Nothobranchius furzeri: one gene and its partners. The protein of the gene in region 1 binds, or shares a complex with, the protein of each later gene. Links are inferred from orthologs where the notes say so. Each region holds a gene or a part of one and is shown in the gene's direction. Other genes may lie near its edges.

Region 1 (3,512 bases):
TTTAGAGATGGCGCTGTCAGTCCTACGTGTGCAGCAGTCCAGACTTTTATTTATTAGAGCTGTTCCGCAAGGAAATTGTTAGTTTGGGTTTTTCATGTCGGGGAGTTTATGCGTCGTCTTAAGTAAATATTGAGAATACAGATAGATGTCAGATTGACCAAATGTGATTACCCGTCAGATCTGGTATGCATTAAAGGACACATTCAGCATGTTTGAGTTTGAATGCAGAAGGAAGGAAATTGTTTACACCGTTAATATAATTTCTTAAACCTGTTTGAAAGAGCGGAACTGTTTTAAAGCAACACCTAATATGTTTCCTGCTTCCCCTTTCTACTGTTTTAAAGAGGTTTACTGTTTACTGTAGCTAGCGCTAACAACGAGCTATTGCTAACACAAGCCATTTAATATTAAAATAAGCCACAAAATAAAAAAAAATCCACACTGTTTGACAAAAAAAAATCATGACTTACAAATCCAGTTGCATCAAAGCCAGGTTACCATCAGTCCATGATTTCATAGCCTCCTTTAGCTCGTTTAGGCTGCACTGATGTTCACTCTGGCTTTAGCTCTTAGCTTTGCCTCCAAAGGCATTACTCCCTTACTTTTACTTCCAGGATCCACCACAATGCCAACATAAAAAAGTTCTTCTTGTTCTTCTTCCTGTGCTATTTTTAACAGTTGGCAAACTAAAGAAGCTAACCTCTAGCCTTCATATGAGCTACCGGCACAGTAAGCAGCTATTGCTGTAAAGCAGATAGAGACCTCCCACCAGTGTATCTATCGAACCACAAAACTGTTAAGTGCAGTTTCTGATCAGGAGAATGCTACCCAGTGTGAACTTGCTCAAGTTTCTGGCTCAAGAATCACTGAAACCAGTTTGAAAGCAACAGCTTAAAGTGTTAAAAGCTCTGTGTTGCTTTAAATTGATGCAGTGATGTGAAAGGAAGAAAATCCAGTCATGCATTTTCTCTCTATCTCAACAGATCACAAACATCACCAAGCTAAAAGACTTTTTGCTGCAACATCGAAAAGATTACGTGAGTGCTGGAACGTAAGTCCCTCCAAAGAGTAAGAGTCATCAACAGTAGCAACAGAGCGCTTCTAAACTGACCATGGGATTATAAAGAAAACAGAGAAGGTCAGAGGTCAAGGTTATTATCAAATGCTCTTTGCGTGAGTTGCATGTGATGGCTGCTGGCACGAGGTCAGCGGCATGTAGGGTGGTCTGTTGAGGCAGGCTCCAGTCTAATTGTCTGGAATAATTGAGCTGCAACCAAGTGTAGAACAAATCACGCCCAGGGACTAATCCTGGCCTTCCTTTGCTCAAGGGGCTCTCTGTGTTTTGTTGGTGTGGCAGTTCAGATCAGCTCCCCCCGCTTCTGTCAGATTTGTGTATAAATCCTCAGTGGAGAACATTAATGAAATATTAGAGATGAAAGTGGTTGATGTGCTGTAGCATGAAGTGTTTGGACAAATCCAGGGATTTAACTTCCAACCATTAGGTGCTCTTTTCTTTCAACTTTCTTCTGTTTTTTTTTAAGTAAAAAGTCTTAAGCCAACATTTTTCATGATGGAAAATAGATTTGAACTAAATGAAATCATACATTAATAAAAAAAATAACCTTGGGTTAAGACTGCAACATAAATGGCCTTCAGCTTTGCATAATAGTGTGGGAGAGGAACTATCACATCGCCCTCTGCTGGATCTTAGGGCACATTACTGTTACCAGTCTGCAAATTTAAAAACATGAATCCTAATTTTTACAACTTCATGTTAAGACAAATATTTCCAAAATCAGCATTATGTTATTTTGCATGTTCAATATTTTAATGTTATTTTATTTAAGGGATGTTTACTTACACTGCTTTCTTTGTTGGGGATTCTTTGTGTGTGTAATCCAGGTTCATTTAAATCTAAACCTGCTTACTGTGTTACTGTCAGCTCACAAGGATGCAATGCTCATCCTAACATAACCGCGATGCAGGATGTTCAGGTGTGTAGAAAACAATTAGAACTGAATTATGTTTAGGGTGAGGCCTTTTCTGAATATTTTGGTCCTTTTTTTTTTTTGCAACCCTGACCCAGGTTAGCAGAGGAGAAGTTTTATGGTTTTTGTGTGTTTCATAGTCTCATCTCATCCGATCATAATCGCATGACGGAAAATGAACGAGACCAGATCGACCAGGATGCTCAGATCTTCATGAGGACCTGCTCGGAAGCCATCAAGCAGCTACGCACTGAAGGTGTGTGTTTATTTCAGATGTAAAAACTAGAAAGTACCAGACTTTCGATTAATGTTTTAAAGCATCTGGACTTCGTTATTAAATAAATATTTTATTTGCATCTTCACAGTGGAGAAACAGGTGACTTCAGCCCAGATGAAGGAGCATAAGGGTGCAGTGCTGGACATCATAGACATGTATCTGAGAGGTGATGTCATGTTATGTAAAAGTTCACATTTGTTTCATGCTTCGTCACTAAACCAGTGACCTGTGATTTCAGACGTTTGTAATCTGTACTCGGAGCAGAGAGCCATTAGAGTCAAGAGAATGGTGGACAAGAAGAGACTGTGAGTATCTTCTGGCCTCACCTTCAACTTGTTGAGAGACTCTTCATATGATTTCTGTTACTTTTTTTCTTTTTGTTTCAGATCAAAACTGGTGCCAGAGCACCCAGTAAGGGTGGAGAAAACTCAGAAAACAATAGAAGTAGAGCCCACAGAGGAGAAAACTGTAAAGGAGGAAAGTTCTGGTGAGTCATGGTGTGTTTGCCCTCAGAAAACTGGACTTTATTCCTCTTAAAGCTCCAGGAAAAGTGAACCTGCCGTCATATGGTGGCAGTGTCTATACTGTGAAATATTATTAGCTGGTTTTAGCTACATTTTTACATTTTACAAAAAAGAAATGTCCCAAATTGCTCCCAAGATGGTGCCCAAAGGGACACCAACACTACCCTCCTCACCGCAACACTAGGTGAAAACAAAAAGGTCCCTCCCTAAAGGGGAAGGGCCTCTGAGCCTGCCTGCAGGGGTCATCTCCGGATCCATCGTCTCCTCTTCTCATGTTTGGCTGGATCAGGCTCGTAGGCTCCGAGAGGCCATCCAGCAGTGGATCCTCCGGCGGGGGCAGGGCCTCCAGAAGCACCCGCCGGACATCCACAGCCATCTGTTGTCTTAAAACCTTAAAACAAATAAAACACCATTAAAATACCACCATCTTTAATTTGCATTTATTTTTGTAAAATAAAGCCCAATTAAAAATGTTGGTGAAACAATGACTAATAAGAATAAGAGATATTAAAAAAATACATAATAAACTTTTGTTTTCATGCATAACAAAATTTTGTTTACCTTTTCTTTTTTGCAATCACAAATATATTTGATTCTTGAACTTTACTCAGCTCACCATTAGTTGTTAGTTTTGTTTTCACAGTTTCACCAAGATTCACACTCACACTTTACTAATATTTGAGATACAGGGAAGAAATCAGATCACACACAAAAATACCTGGC
Region 2 (4,211 bases), on another chromosome or scaffold:
CAAGATTTGTTACAGTAGAGGAAAGGGGAATGTCATGACCGAAAATGGAATTACTGCTAAGGGAGAGAGACTGTGTTTGATGTGTTTGATGTGGAGTGCCGATAATGATAGATTCCGTTTTATTACTGTTTAGTTTTATTACTGTTTAGTTGAAGAAAATTTGCGATCATCCATGCTGTTATGCTCATCTCCTCCAGGCAGACCTGAAGTACAGATGGAAGAGTTTTAGGTATAGTGGAGTCCATTTTCATGTATAACTGAGTGTCGTCTGCATAACAGTGAAACGATATTTTGTATTTATGGAAAATTTGTCCAAGTGGAAGCATGTAGATGGAGAAAAGGTTTGGCCCAAGAACTGACCCCTGTGGTACTCCACAATTTACAGTGTAGGGGGATGACTGACATTGTCCTGAAGCTACAAATTCCGTTCTGCCCGTAAGGTACTCCTGCAACCAATGTAGTGTGGTTGCCGAAAGGCCAACCACAGTCTGGAGTTGATTTAGTAAGATGGTATGGTCCACAGTGTCAAACGCCGCTGACAGATCCAGTAGGAGGAGGAGAGATGGTGAGCCCTGATCCGCAGTTAGAAGTAAATCATTCATAACACGGATCAGGGCAGTTTCTGTGCTGTGGGCTGAACGGAAACCTCAATTTCCCTACATGTGTAGCTCATGGGTGACGACCGGATGAACACATCGCGTTAGCGTTCATACTTGTTTAATTTTCAGTTTTAATTCTGGTGCCTGTTAGCAGCTGAAACACATCCTCACGTGCTTCTGGATATCATATATTGTATATGAAGACATGACTGTAACAATAAGTAAAGGTTATCAGCTGTAGATTTAGTGTGCTCATAGGAAACGTGACAAAAGAACACAAAACACATTTCTCTTTATGGCCTATATTGTTGTCATCATCAGCATAACATGATTCACAGAATACATGTGACCAACTAACATTTTATGTTCTACCACCGGATGTTCGGATCAAAATATGAACCAATCAGATCTTAGATCAGGTGAGAGACAGGCGTTTCCCGTCAACCCCAAGGTTTTGCAGCCGAGGGAGAGTAACTGCAGCACCTTGCTCCAAAATCTGCGGCCACTTTGATCTCACGAGGTTATCGTTGCCTACGTATGCATGACGTCAGACCAAGTCGGCGTCAAGTTGGACACAAATCTAACCGCCATGCACAGCTCGCCGATCACCGCTGATCTAATCTGCACAGAACTGGCTTATCTGGAACACGGCCACATATACTGCTTGCTTGCATTGCTTTAGGTATCTTCTGCCCCCTGTCGCCAGGGAAAATGCACACTGTCACTTTAAACTTATATTAAACCTGAAATTATCACAAAATATTGCAATCATCTGTATAGTCAGGGAGGGACTGATTTAAGAAACGTGTTCTTTGCTCATTTGGCATTTATCATTTAGTTGTTATAGAAGTATGATTTTTAAATGTTTTCAACTTTAGTTCTGAACAATAAATAGAAAATCTGGCTAATTAAAAAAATTCTAGAAGACAATAGATGGTTGTTTTGATTAAATGATACGACAACCTACCACAGCTGTCCTTAGACTGTTGGCGGTGATCACGTGGCTGAGCACCTGATCGTGACGTAGCTCACCAACATGGCGGACTGGAACAGAGGTGGGTTTGAATTTGGACACGTATTCACTTTTATCTTATAGTTTATTTGTGATGTTGATGGTTGAAATGCCATTTTATAGCGGTGCGAGGGGGACTGTGACGTCAGCAGACATCAGAACCAACGGTTCAGAGCCCGAACCCCCAGCTGGGCTAGCATGAGGCTAGCACTAGCTGTTTAACAACACCTTCTTCGCTGAGCAAAGCAGATAAAGCGATAAAAACGGGACGTTTCTCAGATTATGAATAAAGAAAAGACAATCGGAGGTTTAGCTCGTGGTTGACTTTCATTTAAATGGTGAAAGGGCAGACAACAACAGTAAAACAGGATTTGAGGCTTACTTTTCATATTTAGTTTTGTTTGGATAATTTGGCTGACATAAGATGGTCTTTATGGAACATAACCGGGGTTTCCTTTAAGTAAACCTTTCCTGAACGCACCACTAGTATAAAAAAGGTTTTAAATGTTACTTTTACTACGGAGCAGTACACACATGTAAGTACAGGTCACACAGCACCACAGAGACAGAAAAATAAAACAGAACACCTTTATCAGTCACGTCTTGAAGAAATGCATGTTTCACTCTAATCTGTTTCCCACCTGATTATGTTCTGATCCTGTTGCTGACTCTGATCTCAGTTCAGTTTTAACTGATAACACTTTCAAAGTAAAAGTTGGTGTCCTTGCTTTTTTTCTGTCCAGAAGTCTTTTTTTCCAGATCATCACTTTTAATGCTTTTCCTCCCAGCCGTGGACATTCTCTCCTTTTTTGACATAAATTGTTCAGCTGTTGCCTAAAGTGACCATGTGTAGTTTTCCTGGCGATAGGGGGCAGTAGATACCCGAATCACAGCAAGCAAGCATTATTTTTGTGTTCAAATAAGACCTTACCAACTGATGGCACTTAGGGTCAAAAATCCCTGGGAGTGCAACCTCCATCAAAATAACACCAGATTCCCTTTCATCACTAAACGAGTGAAGAGGTAAATGTGTAAAGCAACAATGTGTATTAATGCTCAAAGTTTATAACCACTTGTCACATATCAGTAAATGCATTTTGTCCTCAGACTTCCGTAGAAGGAAACATGGCATCCAATATGGCATCGCTCGGTGACAGGGTGTTTCTCAATGTGAAGGCACCTGGCTTTGCGAGGCGATGTCTTGCTAGGCCAGGTGCCTTACTTACGAGGACACTGTTCTTCCTTGGTCAAAGAAAACGTTTAAATGGAACAGACTTGCATCACGTGACCGCAGCTTCCACGACAGCCATGTAACATCACATGAAACGGGACATAACGATATATTTTATACGTATTAGTTTCAATATAAATATATAACGAGGTGTTTACTTTTAAAATTGTGTATGTTTATTAAATTAAAAATATAAGCAAGTTACTACCCGCTAGCCACCGAAGCTGCAACTAATAAGCAGCCAACCAACAATAGATAACTTCGTTGGATCTAAAAAAGAAACATTTTAAATTAGTTCTCTTACTTTTAAACTTGAAATTTGCCCCCGAAGTAGCTGCCGGTTTTTGATCCGCCATGCTTTTGAAAATACTGCGGTGTATTCTGGGAAAGTTTTGCCAAGGCTAGGCTAAAAGACACCTTCTGTGTATCCTTGCTCAGCTAGCTAAACAGCTAACTAACGGAGAACACACGCCTTGGTAGAACATGAACATTGGAACGCGTCTTGGCAGCTCCTGATGACGTATCTCCTAGGCAACCGGGGCAGGGTCAAGACATCAAGGCGAGGTTCCTTGGCATTGAGAAACACCCTCTGTCCCTTTCCAATGTATTTTACAACAGATCTTTATGGTAACTTGTTTTTAAACTGCCAATATTTTTTCAACAACTGTTTTAATTCTTTTACGACAACAGTTCGGTGGATATTTCCAGAGATTAAAGGTGAAAACTACACACTGTCACTTTAACAGGATCTTGTTCAAACAGCACCAAGCTTCGGACTTCGACTGGTTCTTTTCTAGTTCTGCCTGTTCCATTTGCTGACTGGTTCTTTTGTTCGTTCTTCGTATCTTCCCTGTCCTCTCATTGGATTTTCATTGTTTCATGTTGATCCTTTGAGTCTTTAATCCAACCTTTTATTTCAATTCTCATTTAGTTTTTGTGTGGAAAAAGTATTCCTTACGAACGAATGGAATTAACACTATTGAGATCTGTGTATTAACATTGTTTTAAATCTATTACAGACGAGACGTTTAGTTAGTGTGATAAAGCAGATGTTTGAAACCATCACAGAAATGTGACAGGTTGTATTTCTGTGCTTGTTCAGGTCACGGCTCAGTTGACGACATGCTGGATGCTGAAAACAAACGGATGGCTGAGAATCTGGCCACCAAAGTCTCCAGACTCAAATCTGTATGTGAGTCCGATGAGTTGATAGCTTTTCTAGGTGTTTGTCAAACTCACTTTTTTCTCAGCAGCAAGTCTTGGTCTTCCCAAAAAAGCTGTGAAGCAACTGAAACTTGTTCAGAAGTAGGGTTGTCACGGTGTGAAAATTTAACCTCACGGTTATTGTGACCAAAATTATCACGGTTTT
Region 3 (3,977 bases), on another chromosome or scaffold:
CACCTGAGGCCCCTGAGCCTGGGCCAGGCACCGCCGTGTGTTCCCGCCTTCTTCCCAGCAGCATACAAGTTAGGAGCCAATCCCCAAGGCCCCGCCCAGATCCCCACATGGGGGCCAGCTACCCCCACACCCTTAGCCCCCAGGCCCCCACCCAGACCCACTCAGGGGTGATGCAGCCACCAGGCAGCAACCCATCGCCACCGTCAAGACCCCCCAAGGGGCTCCACTCACAACCGCCAGTAATCCACCCCTCGAGGCAACCCAAGCGCCTCCAGAGTGGGACAGCAGCCCCCCAGCCCCAGACACCCCCAGTGAATCCACCTCCAAGGAACGTCCGGATACTGCAAGCGCAGACCCTCCACCCCATCACCCACATCATCCCGCAGGACAGTATCAATGACAACCCCCCCCCCCCCCCCACACACACACACACACACACAATCACCTCTATGTGATGGAACCGATCAAAGGAGCCCATATAGATTGATTTGAAGTGGAAGAAGAGGCTGTCTCAAGTGTAATATGATCCAACAAAAGATTTATATACTGGTTAATGCAAAGAGTATCTCTATTTTTCCAATTCATGAGGATAGTTTTTTGAGCGACGCATATGGCAGTCAGAACCACGTCAACCAAAGGTGTTTCAATCGGGACATCATCCAGGTATCTTGCTATTCTTTATAGGTAGCCTTGTATCTAAATAGTAAATAATTTATAAAACAATAATTCTGTACAAAATTGATTATTATTATAATGTATCTATAATTTAGGCCCATTATTGTTTTAGGAAATAGCCTGGCTAGAAAATAATGTAAACAGACAAAGTAAATGCACACTAATATAAACTTCGTTCATTTTTATTTAATATTGTAGTGACTAGTAATAGTTTATCTTATTTTATGATGTTTCAGTTGTCTTTTAACAAATGTTTCAAATCTTTTTTAGAAGAATTAGCGGAAAAACTACAGTTCCCAGAGACCGTTTAAAGCTGTCTACCTTCGTGCCTGAATAAAATACGTTAAAATAACTTGTAAGACATTTAAATAGTGTTAAGCATATTGATGGTATTGTCACATTCATCTTCAGTATTGAAATAAATTTCACCGAACGTTTAGCATGTGAATACTTCAAATTTGTAGCAATGTTGTAAAGTTTAGGCACTTGGTCACGAGAGTCGTCATGCGGCAGCGGAAGAGTCTCATCGAAGCACAAGCAGTTGATCCACTTGTGTAGTTCGTTCCGTCCTTTAAAGAAAAAGGTACAGGTGGCCTTTTTATGACAGACAGCGAGATTACATTGACGGAAAATGTCGTCGGAAGAATTTGAGAAGTTACACGAAATCTACAGATCCTTGTATGACGAGCTAAAGCTAATCCCAGAGAAGGCTCTCAGCTGTACCGGAGGTAAATAAACCCGTTGTTCCCTCATTTAACCTCGTTTAAGTGTCAAATAACAAAACCTTCTTGGTTTAAACCTCGAACTTGTTCTGTTCCTAATGCAGAGGAGAGGAAGAGACTGGTGAGGACCTTCGATGAGAGACAGGGGGAAGCTGATGAAGTGGTAAAAACGTTTGTTTACGTCAACATCTTCACTTGTTTCTGTTTGTTATTTATTAACAGTGAGTGTTATAAATAAGGCCAAGAGTTTGCTGTAATTATTACCGCAAAACATCAACATAAGTACAATGACTGGCTGTGATGCTAAAGCTAATGTAGCTGAATGCATCTTGTGTGTAAAAACCATCGACATTAATATATGGACAATGGGTTTCCATAGACTCCAATAACACGTTTTTGAGGCTAAATGGGAGGTGGCCACCACCGCCATTTTGACCGTGTCACAGGTTCCGTCAAGCCCAGACAATTCCACAAAAGGGAAGAGAGGAGGAGCTGAGGGTGGGGCTGTAAGGCTGGGATCAACTGACAACACCCGGTCGAGCTATCTACAAGCTAACCTGAAGCTAACCCAAAGCTAATGCGGATGTGGGAGCTAAGCTATCGGAGGTAGCAACCTAGCTACAACTGGAGTTAACTGTGCACAACACCAGAGCTTCTGAGTCAGAGGTACGCCGGGCTGACCGCTGGGTAAAATACGGTGGAACCCAGAGGTCTCGGAGACCTCCACAAGCCGGCAGCCGCACAGTACACAGAAGCCGCGATCAGACAGATGCGTCGAGCTGCTGGGAGAACCAGCCGTCAGCTCGCTGCAGCAAACAGAAGCTGCGATCAGACAGATGCGCCGAGCTGCGGGGAGAAGTGGCGTATTTTGGCGGTTCTGGCTTGCCATAAGAACCAGCCGTCAGCCCGCCGCAGCACACAGAAGCCGCGATCAGACAGCGATGCGCCGAGCTGCTGGGAGAACCAGCCGTTAGCCCGCGCAGCTAACAGGAGCCGCGATCAGACAGAGATGGACCAGGCTGCGGGGAGAAACAGCCGGCATTCTGGGTGGAAAACATCGGTCTCCCGAGAGCTCCACAAGCCGATAGTCGGAACCCAGCTCCACCAACATGTTATATTTCAACCCATTTTCTAAAGTGCAGCATTGTGTTAAATGCACTGGGTTTTACCCTATTACATTTAAATTTCATGGTTAAACAGTACATGTTAAAATCTAAGCTCAGCTTGGCAGTGACCTAAAATACATAAATATAATTTTACTTACCGAAAAAAATGAAGTGGAGACTCCTTGGACGCTCTATTAGTGCAATTAATGCCACAGCAAGTCATTTTGTCCAACAATTGCACAAAAAATATCCAAAAAAGAATACACAAACACAGAGACTCAAAATCCCGGAACAGTTTCCAAGCCAGACTGAGGCTCTACTGAGGCCTTTCCACGGAGCTAGCTCTGTGGTCACGTGTGTCGGATGCTCATTAATTATACAGAATTTTAGGCTTTTAATACACTTAAACAGAAGAGTGAGAAAAAAAATTCACCCCCCTCAGAGTTGTCATGAGTATAAACTAGATCATTTAAACAAAAAACATGTTTTGGTACCAGGCTGTAAACATGTTTATTTCTGCTGTGAAATTGGCATTTTTAACATGGGAGTCAATGAGGATTTGCTCGTTTCTGACACCAGCCCCCAGCGGATGAGGGTGGAACTGCAATTTCTCTTACTTCCGGGTTGGCCTCAAATTTAAAGCCACATTGTGGGGGCCTGGTAAAAACGCAGCTTTACACTTTAAGCAGAGAGGTAGTGCAGTAATCATTAAATCAAAAGTCTATTAAACTTCAGTGTTAAAAACACAGAGGAAGATGCTTAAATACGTGCCTCACACTGCCAACTTTATTCGGTACACCTTGTATCTGCAGGGTTAGATCAGAACTACCTTCTCTCTTCATGTCATTGATCCAACAAGATGTTGGAAACTTTCCTTAGAAGTTCTGGTCCATATTAACATAACATCACACAGCTCTGTTCATAAGGAAAACCTCCTACTCCACCACATTCCATAAGTTCTGGACTGAGATCTGGTGACCGTGGAGGCCGTTTTTGTCCAGTGAACTCATCGTCATGTTCTAGAAACCAGTTAGAGATGCTCTGAGCTTTGTGACATGGTGCATGATCGTGCTTGAAGTAGTATCAAAAAATGGGTCCATGTGGTCATAAAGTGATAGACATGTATGGTCAGCAACAAGGTTGTGGTACTTAAACTAGGCTCAGCTGGTACTAAGGGGTCCAAAGTGGGACAAGAATGCCACCAGCAGCAGCTTAAAGCATTGATGCAAGACAGAATGGACCCATGCTTTCATGTTGGTGACACCAGATGAATTGAAGCCTCAGTATCCTTTTCTTAGCTGACAGGAGAGACACATTGATGTGGTTTTCTGCTGCTGGATCTGCTTCAGGCATCATCATGTTGTGGTTCAGAGATGCTGTTCTGCAGACCTTGGGAGGAACGAGTGATTGTTGGAGCTGCTGTTGTCTTTTTATTTATTTTTTTACGGTGTCCTGTCCGGCTGTGAAGCAATCA

The links. The genes of interacting proteins can lie anywhere in the genome.
Region 2: stx18 (region 1) and bet1l share a complex: the UniProt entries of both Homo sapiens proteins name them as parts of the SNARE complex. The link is inferred for Nothobranchius furzeri from reciprocal best matches to the Homo sapiens genes STX18 and BET1L.
Region 3: stx18 (region 1) and vti1b share a complex: the UniProt entries of both Homo sapiens proteins name them as parts of the SNARE complex. The link is inferred for Nothobranchius furzeri from reciprocal best matches to the Homo sapiens genes STX18 and VTI1B.

The regions. Positions count from the first base shown.
Region 1 is NC_091743.1:54,512,948-54,516,459, forward strand, and holds part of stx18 (syntaxin-18), read left to right. Parts: intron 1-983; coding exon 984-1,051; intron 1,052-2,128; coding exon 2,129-2,244; intron 2,245-2,353; coding exon 2,354-2,431; intron 2,432-2,503; coding exon 2,504-2,570; intron 2,571-2,651; coding exon 2,652-2,752; intron 2,753-3,512. UniProt on the Homo sapiens protein: Syntaxin that may be involved in targeting and fusion of Golgi-derived retrograde transport vesicles with the ER.
Region 2 is NC_091754.1:42,729,383-42,733,593, reverse strand, and holds the start of bet1l (BET1-like protein), read left to right. Parts: upstream 1-1,408; 5' UTR 1,409-1,635; coding exon 1,636-1,654; intron 1,655-3,944; coding exon 3,945-4,030; coding exon of another isoform or gene 4,031-4,034; intron 4,035-4,211. UniProt on the Homo sapiens protein: Vesicle SNARE required for targeting and fusion of retrograde transport vesicles with the Golgi complex. Required for the integrity of the Golgi complex.
Region 3 is NC_091758.1:18,878,216-18,882,192, reverse strand, and holds the start of vti1b (vesicle transport through interaction with t-SNAREs homolog 1B), read left to right. Parts: upstream 1-1,174; 5' UTR 1,175-1,306; coding exon 1,307-1,403; intron 1,404-1,501; coding exon 1,502-1,560; intron 1,561-3,977. UniProt on the Homo sapiens protein: V-SNARE that mediates vesicle transport pathways through interactions with t-SNAREs on the target membrane. These interactions are proposed to mediate aspects of the specificity of vesicle trafficking and to promote fusion of the lipid bilayers.